2 linked regions of the Sus scrofa genome follow. The protein of the gene in region 1 purifies or fractionates together with the protein of each later gene. This does not show direct contact. Links are inferred from orthologs where the notes say so. Each region holds a gene or a part of one and is shown on either strand. Other genes may lie near its edges.

Evidence for each region.
Region 2: the proteins of LSM1 (region 1) and PATL1 purify together in Homo sapiens (co-immunoprecipitation; 3 studies listed by BioGRID and IntAct, with this or other methods). This does not show direct contact. The link is inferred for Sus scrofa from reciprocal best matches to the Homo sapiens genes LSM1 and PATL1.

What each region holds. Positions count from the first base shown.
Region 1 is NC_010457.5:48,347,205-48,351,720, forward strand, and holds the start of LSM1 (U6 snRNA-associated Sm-like protein LSm1), read left to right. Parts: upstream 1-1,448; 5' UTR 1,449-1,844; coding exon 1,845-1,890; intron 1,891-4,516. Other genes in the region: BAG4 (BAG family molecular chaperone regulator 4), read right to left, coding at 1,032-1,301. UniProt on the Homo sapiens protein: Plays a role in the degradation of histone mRNAs, the only eukaryotic mRNAs that are not polyadenylated. Probably also part of an LSm subunits-containing complex involved in the general process of mRNA degradation.
Region 2 is NC_010444.4:11,826,582-11,831,015, forward strand, and holds the start of PATL1 (protein PAT1 homolog 1), read left to right. Parts: upstream 1-1,513; 5' UTR 1,514-3,229; coding exon 3,230-3,289; intron 3,290-3,366; coding exon 3,367-3,478; intron 3,479-4,434. UniProt on the Homo sapiens protein: RNA-binding protein involved in deadenylation-dependent decapping of mRNAs, leading to the degradation of mRNAs. Acts as a scaffold protein that connects deadenylation and decapping machinery.

The sequences.
Region 1 (4,516 bases):
ATTTGGAATATTTTCCCTTTTGGCTATTATGAATAATGCTACTATGAATCTCACGTGTACAAGTTTATACGTGGACATGTTTTTAGTTCTCTTGGGTGTATAACAAGGAGCAGACTTGCTGAGTAAGATCCCAACAGTATGCTTAACGTTTTGAGGGACTTCCAAACTGTTTTCCAAAGCACTGAACCATTTTATGTTCCCACCAGCAATGTATGGGAATTTCATTATTACATTTTCAACCAATGAGGATGTTACATTTCCTGAAGAAAAGGATAGGAGTGCCCCCACCAGATAACGATTAATTCTCTGCGAAGCATACTGCATAACAAAACAACTGTATTTCCGCACGACTACAAGGAACAAGACATTATAGGTTCAAATATACTGAGTGAGTTAACCCTTCACGGTCAACGGTTCTTTCATCGTAAAACAGAGAAGATGTGATGACATTTACGCGGCAGTCACCCTTAAGATGAAATAAAACAATCCACGGAAAGCTGCTTTCCAACATTGATTATGCGTGATTCAATGTCGGGCAAAGCGTTAAAAGGGCAAAGAGCTAAACGCCCAGATCCCTCCCCTTCCTTCACGTTCCTTCCCAGGGGGAGGGGTTGCTAAGGGACGGAGGGTGCTGCAGCCACCTCCCTTCTTGGGGAGGGCCGACCTGATGAGCCACGCAGGATAAATTGTCAGGACTCGAAAAGCAGACCCGGATCCCTCCAGCCCAACACCGTTCCCAGGCGAGATTCGCAGCCCGCTACTCAGCTCAGCAGGTCAGCGCAGGATCTTTTTCCCCTTTTTCATGCTAAGACATTTACTATGGTTGAAGTAAAAAAGAGGCAAAGAGAAAACAAGCATAGCCCCCACCTACGATCCTAGTTTCTGTCTCTCCACCCCCCCATAAGGAAAACACATGAAACCCAATTCATTACGAACTCTTGGAGGTGTATCAAACCCAATAACCCTCACCTCCAAAGACTCCCCTATTGCCGTCCCCTACCCCACCCCGGGACAGACAGCGCAAAGCTTACCTGGTGGCTTCCTCCAGCTCGACCTGGCTCCGACCAGACGCCTCCAGAGGGATAGTAGCCATCTCCTCCTCCCCCTTCTCCCGGCCAGGTGGTCTCAGCCTGGCCGCCCCCGCGTACCCGCCAAGAAACAGGAGGCTGGGGAGGTTCGGGGCGGGGAGGATATATGGGCGGAGGGGGGTGCACGGGCACATCTCCACCCCCAGGCCCGTAGTAGCGGCCATAAGACGGACCGTCACCGGGGCCGTAGCCCGAGCGCCTCAAGGCCGACATGGGCTCCACTGCCCCCAAGTGCTTCCCGCCCCCCACGGCCGGTCCATTGCGCAGACGCCAGCCGGAGAACGCAAGTGGACCGCAGGGAAGGGGGTCGGCCAGCAACAGCCAATCCCAGGCCGGGTCCCGCCCCCTCGGCCTCAGATTCTTGAGAGTTGAAGGACTGAGGTCGGTGACTCTGGGGTCTAGGAAGCAGGACAGCAAGGGGCGCCACCGTGTACCTTAAAAGGGAGAACGCATTTCCCCACTACGTATCCAATCTAGGTTTCTCTTCCCCTCTTGTCAAGGACGTGGAAAGGGTGCCTCGGGACCTCACTACGGTCCCGCCTCTTCCTGAGCACCGGCACGTGATGCCGGAAGTGGGTGGGAGTAATATGGCGACGTTTCCGGCAGGCCCCGGCGGCTGAAAGCCGGGCCGGAGGTGCTACTCTGGGTCCGGGTTCTTGTCCCGGTGCCGCCGAGGCGGCGACTGCGGTAGGAAGAAGGAAGTGTTGGACGAGTTGGCCCACCACCGCTATACGTTGCGCCTCATTTCAACTCAAAATGAACTATATGCCCGGCACCGCTAGCCTCATCGAGGACATCGACAGTGAGTAGTTCGGCTCCTCCGAGTGAAGTCTGGGGTGAGACTCTTCCTGCCGGGAGGATGCTTTTTGGAGGCAGGTCCTAGAATGAGTCCGGGCCAGGGGGCGGTGTCTTTTTAGTGCTGTTCTGGACGTGCGGCGTTAGCGTCCTTTGCAGGAGGGAGGAGCCTTGTGACACGCTGTTTGCCCGCCTCCTACCTGTATCCTATCTCTTACAGCCTGCACCAGTCCTCCGGCAAGCTGTCGAATCCATTTCTGCTTTTCAGGGATGCGGCTGCTGAGGCCCAAACATGAAAGTTGCCGCCTCCCGGGCCCATCATCTCCCACCTGCGGGATTTCGAGTCCCAGGTGGTTACTGGTGGATGGATGAGAATTCTTAAGGAAGGGATGCATCGAGAAACGAAAATACGAATACAACAGTAATTGGACTTAATTAGCACTAAGCATAGGCTTTATGCTGCGTCGCCTTTTGCAGTCTTCTTTTACCGTTGAGGGTCTTTAGATTTTCAGATTATGATAGTAGAGACTACTGCCAGACAAGGCTTGACTTTTCCAGAAGGACCAAAAACTTGTTTTTTTCTTGTTAGACAGTTTTCTTTGGTTTTTATTTAGACGACCTACCTTATTCCTAGTCACCATCCTGAAGAGAAGTTTAGTCCTCTATAGCTGTCCTGTCTTTTCCAGACTCTCATTCGTGGATTATTCCTCAAGCAAATTTTAATAAATTGTTTCAGTCCTGTGATCTGTCTTGTTTTGCTTTTTAGGGCGGCACCATGGCATGTGGAAGTTCCCAGGCTAGGGGTCGAATCAGAGCTGTAGCTGCTGGCCTATGCGACAGCAACTCTGGGTCCCAGCCACGTCTGTGACCTACACCACAGCTCATCGCACCACCAGATCGTTAACCCACTGATCAAGGATCGAACCTGAGTTTTCATGGATACTAGTTGGTTTCATTACTGCTGAGCCACAATGGGAACTCCGTCTCATTAACTTGTAGTAGTTGCAAAACAGTTTGCATACAGCTCCAAACAAGTTACAACAATCTCTACAGTTACTAAGTATGCAAATTAAAGAATGAGTTTATGATTATATTCTCTATCATCTGAAATTATTTTTAAAATCCAAATTAGTGATTTTGCTATTAAAGGAAAATGTAGTGTAGGTTGGACCAAATTCATATGTGAATAGCCACTGTACAAGCCTATCTGCAATGTATGATAAAGTCTTCAATTTTTGTTGTTTGAAGATGCCCTTTTGCCCTCACCTCTTTTGTTATATATCTGAATTAGTTGAGGCCTTAACACATTCTGCCATTCTACTAAAAACATAATTTTCTCAAGCCTCTAACCCCTTTTTTTTGCAGATTCCAAACCCCTCCTTTACCAAAAGGTTTAAAACCATTTCATATGCCCCCTTCACACACATACATTTTCCTCTTCTCCTCAGTCCTCCTGTATTTTCTCTCATATTTTCTTTCTCCCTCCCCCAGAGTCCTCCCCTTCATGTATGTTCTTGTCTGTCACATTTTTTCTCAACTGTGTTTCCCCATCAAATTCCCATCCCCCTTTTCATATCTTTACCCCCAAACCTTTTGAGCCATCTCCCATTTTAAGTCTGTTTCCTGACTCCCTGCAATAGACCATCTCTGTTACCCCTGCAATCTGATTTTTTTAGACAACACTCTACTGAAACTGCAGTCTTAAAAGGCATCTGTGAAATGCAGTCCTCCAGGTTCTTCCCTCCCCTCTGTTACCACTGGAATCATTACTTTTCTTGATTTCTCCAACGCTGGTACTTAATTTTCTCTCCTCTGCAACTCTTATTATTCCCTAAAATAGATGGGTTCTTAGCTTCCATCAACAGTCTGTTTGTTTATATCTCTAGGAGCTCTCGTGGACTTCAGTAATTATATCACCTCTTTGTGGGCTTATCCAAAATTGCTCTGATTCTGACCTTTTGGCCTCCCAGTCTTACATCTTTAATTGCCAGTTGACCTTTCTACATAGGCGACCTGATACCAGCAGAATCACAACAGCTAATTACCTTCCACCCTAAGCTTGTGTCTTTTAGTCCCAACTTTTGGTAAATGGTCCTTCTTGACATGACGACTCAGAATTCCTGCATCTTCTTTAACTCATCTCTTCAGCACCCCATTCTCTCGCACATACCCACACATACAAACACAGATAATTGACAGATCCCATCCCTTGTCACTGCAGGGTCTTAGTCCTCTCATCTTCCCCCTTCCCATCTCTACCCTGAGTCAGGTCTCTTCTGCATGTCTCAGACTCTGGGAATAGCCTCAAAACTGTTCTCTCTTTCCTGCCAGTTTAATCTTCAGTGTTTTCTTATTCCCTGTGAAGTCACATCCAAACTTCAGCCTGTTCCCAGTACTTTTTTTCTGACTTCATCTCCTGTTATTTCCCTTCACACCTTTTAGCCAAACATTTGGACACATAGCTCTTTTTTCTTCTGCCTGAATTATAGACTTCCCCCCTCCTCCCCTTCTCTGTCACTCTTCCCATGGCCAAAAATGATCTACCCTTTAAGGTCCAACTCAGATACCTCCTCCATCTAGAAATAGTTTCTCTCAGCCTCACATAATTAAGATTTGCTTGCTTGCTTTTTTTT
Region 2 (4,434 bases), on another chromosome or scaffold:
TTGCCATTGAGTGGTTTAGGATAAACTGCTTAACATCTCTAATCCTCAAATTCCTCATCTATGGAGAAAATAATACCACCTACCTCACCGGATTGGCATAAGGCAGACTTCAACCATCAGTAGAAGTACTACTGGAATCATCATGCCATTGAACCACTACTTTGTGAGGCAGGTATCATTAATCCCGTTTTCCAAAGAAATTAAGGCTCAGACACGTTTAGGTAACTTGCCCCAAATCTGACGGCCCAGTGGCAAAGCACTGATTCCCACCCAGAACTTCTATTTCCAAATCCAAGTTTCCACTACTCAGGCTCTGATTAATCCGGTCATACCACCACGTAAGGAATTTACTCTATGCCACTCCCAGGCGAGGCTGCACTTTAAGACACCGGAGAAAGGAGTTGCGAAACTGCACAAGAATTCGTGGTGCAAGGACTAAATTTCGTAGCCAAGTTTAGTCTTCAAGGGGAAAGAGTGAGTTCGGCTAGCGGAGATAACAGTTCTCCAAAGAGACTTCTGAAAACAGGCTGCCAAGGCACCTGGACAAATGCTTTTCTGGTCCTGATCCTCTAAGGAGGTGGTGTCACCCTACGGCGCACTCAGCCTCGATGACCTTGCTGCCCACGGCTGTGCTGCCTTTTTTGGCTCCCTCACTCCACACGCTTGATGTGCCTGAGCCCTAAAAATACCTCCCTGGTTGAACCTCCCTAATAAGCCTTCGGTTTAAAGAAAAGAGGAAAAAAAAGCCTTCATCTCTGAGACACATAAATCACAGCCCTGACCTGCTGTTGACTCAGCGGGTGACGTGCCGCTGAAAGTGGCGACGAACTCAGCCCCTTTCGATGACCTGAACTTTAACTTTTTTCCCCTCCACTCGGTGCCTATCGTATGTCGTGAAGACCGCCAAGCAACCCGAAGACGGTGTTGGACGCTGGAAAAAGTGCCCAGGAATGTCCATTTCTCCCAGCCTAAGCTAAGCCTGGGACTCTCCAAAGCCATATCCTGTGACAATCACAAGGCTTTTCTCCGCCCCGTCGGTGACGGAAAACTCGTGACTCGAACCTCAGCGTCGGGCGGGCGCAGAGAAGCCGGGGGCGGAGCTACAGGTTCGGATCGCGAGGAAGCCCCCGACGGGTGGCGCGTGCGCAGTCTCTCGCCACGGGACCTCCTTCCCGCCGCCGAGACTAGGAAGCGGGACGCCAAATCTGTCCCCGCGCAGCCGCCGCCGCCGGGCGCGGAGCGGGGCGGCCGCCCTCCCCGAGGCGCGCCTGCGCACGTTCCCACGCACGCTCCGGCGTACGGCGGCGGCCAGGGGTCGCGAGCCGGTGGAGGACCCGCGCGCGGAGGAGCCCGGAGAGTCAGCGCTTCTTCCCTCCCTCCCCCATTCCCCTCCCCGCTCCCTCCCCCCCCTCCCCAAGAATGTTCCGCTACGAGGTGAGCTGTTGCGACCGGAAGTGACCCCTCCCTCCCGCCGGCACGCGCCCCCCTCTCTGTTTCTCTCACGCTCAGCGCGTCGGTCCGCGCCCCTCGGGGGGAAAAGGGGGGGCGGAGGGGCCGGCAGGACCGAGCAGAGTGTGTGGGCTCTGGGGTCGCGGGTTTAGTCCAAGGGCTGTGAGCTGGCTTCGTGGGGGCGGGACTGTCCTATCAGTTGCTACTGAGGAGAGTTGACCTCTGTTTGGGGGTGGGGAGGGCCCGTTAAGTGCGGTAACCAACCACCCCCCACCCCACCGTACCCCCGGTGGGGCTCGGCATTGAGAGCCTTGCACCCACCCGGTGGCACTTAAGGCTTAAGGAAGAGCCACAGGGTAAAGCCCAGGGACGCATTTCCCGCCTAAGACCCAGAACTATCATCTCGCATTAATTACACATAGCCCCTTACTCGCAGGCAACCGTCAGGTCACCCGGGCCTGCACTTGCCCTTTGACTGGGGCGGAAGACTGTTTACTGATGAGAGCTCCGAGTGGGGAAGGGGCGTGTCCAGCAGAAGTTTTTTCTGGGCGAATGGAGGGAAACTGGGGGTTCGTGATGGTCCCTGGAATACAGCAACAGAGTTATGACGCTACCACTGAGTCTCTGTATGACCTTTAGCGACTGCTAATCACTAGACAGAGTTTCTGGATTTGTAGAAAGGGTGGGTCTAGACGATCCCTTTCCAACCTAAAAAGCAGTGATTCGGTGAAGTAGATCTTTGTGATTTGGGAATGCTTCTGGAAGTTGCCTCTGATGTGGATGCAGTTGCACATGCTTGCTTTGTCTAAGTTTGGAAGGACCTAAGATGGCCCTTTGGCCTAACGTTTCTTTTGGGAACAGCCTAGCTGAGAAATAGCCGGCAAGGTGTTATCACAAATGTGCCTGCCAGAGAGTGTGGAATTCTGATTCTGAGTATTTGAAAATTGGGGCTGTGTATTCTTGCTATTTGATGGGAATGGCTCGAGATCAAACTGACTATATGTAAACATGGAGAGACATGCTGAGATGTGGTGGGGCAAAGTTCCCCAAAGAAAAGAAAACTTGGAAAAATAAATGAAATGGGGGGGGGAGTGTTTAAAGTAGAACATACCCAAGTGATATCTAGCATTGTTTAACAATACACAATGTTTGCTTCAATCTTTTTCTCCTTTGATCCTCACTACTTGCTGAGGCAGGTGGTGGTGTCCTTGTATTACCACCTAAGAGATTGTGGCTTAGAGCCTTAATACAGGCTGAGACACAGTAGGTGCTCAGGAGGTATTGAATGAATTCATCAGAACGGCTGTGATTTGCCCAAGTTGATATCACTTGTCAGAGTTGAGACAGAACTTAAACTTGCCACATCCCGGCCTTTCAAGAGTTTACTTAATTGTGATTGAAATCTTAGCTTTCTGTTTTATCACCAGTTTTGGGCCTGTAGAAAGAAGGAAGAGGAAAAATGATGAGAAAGCTTCAAAAGGGAATAATAAAAGGGTTGAAAAGATGACATGAATATGGGGAAGATAAGAATTTCATTGAAAAATAGATGTAAAACTCTAGCAAAATGTAAAGTGTTTGCTTTCATTTGTCATTATTGTAACCAGTGATGGAAAGGAAGTTACAGGCCTAATTTCTTGGTTGCATGAGGAAATGCTATTATTAGATTCTTGCTGAAAAGAGAAATGGAAATTTGGGGGAAGAGGTTAAATGAAATAAGGAATAGGAAAGAGAAGCTGAAAGAAACGATTTGCAAATCTTCCAATGTCGGGAAAATTGGGGGATGGAAAAAAATGCCATCTGTACAAAAAGTCATAATGAAGCTATTGTGTTGATTGGGAAGGTAAGAACATTTTTAGAACATTTTTTAAGTGAGGTTGTGAACTTCACGAATTATCAGTCTCTCTCTCTCTCTTAAAGTCTTTGGAGGATTGTCCTCTGGATGAAGATGAAGATGCGTTTCAGGGGCTGGGAGAGGAAGATGAAGAGATTGATCAATTCAATGATGATACATTTGGGTCAGGTGCAGTTGGTAAGCGATATTAAGTACTTTTGTCTTCCTCTGGTCTCTTTTTGCCTCACTTAGAAAATCTGGTGTTTTCTAAGCCTTGTCTTTTCCAGCTTTATGATCTATCGTTCTAAGTTGACACTATAAGAAATTCAAATGGTTAGACAAGTGGACATTTTATAAAGGCTTAAAATAATCCTAGAAGAAGGACTTTTTTTTTTTTTTTGGTCTTTTTAGGACCGCACCTGTGGCACATGGAGGTTCCCAGGCTAGAGGTCGAATTGGAGCTATAGCTGCCAGCCTACGCTACAACCATGGCAACACAGGAACCAAGCCACGTCTGTGACCCACACCACAGCTCATGGCAACACTGGATAGAGAAGGAAGTTTTTTGTTTTTTTTGTTTTTTTTCATGAAACACGTAACTTAAGGAAAACTAGTGCATTAGGAGAAAACTAAGATTCATATATGTATGTTTGAAAATTTTTATATGGCCTGACCCTGCTTTTGTCCTATAGTAAGTATATTTAATTACATATTTTATTCCAGGAATTTGGTAGTAAGAGGTCTTTGTAAGTTAGAAAGGTGTTGTGCAAAAATGAAATTTTCTGGAGTTCCCATCGTGGCGCAGTGGTTAACGAATCCGACTAGGAACCATGAGGTTGCAGGTTCGGTCCCTGCCCTTGCTCAGTGGGTTAACGATCCGGCGTTGCCGTGAGCTGTGGTGTAGGTTGCAGACGCGGCTCGGATCCCAAGTTGCTGTGGCTCTGGCGTAGGCCAGTGGCTACAGCTCCGATTCAACCCCTAGCATGGGAATCTCCATATGCCTCGGGAGCAGCCCAAGAAATAGCAACAACAAAAGACAAAAAAAAAAAAAAAAAATGAAATTTTCTCAGCCCTGGGTATAGATAAATATTCTAGGAGTTGGAAAAGATCAAAAAACTAAAAAACCAAAGTCAGCTAGAGGCCACAGGCTTATA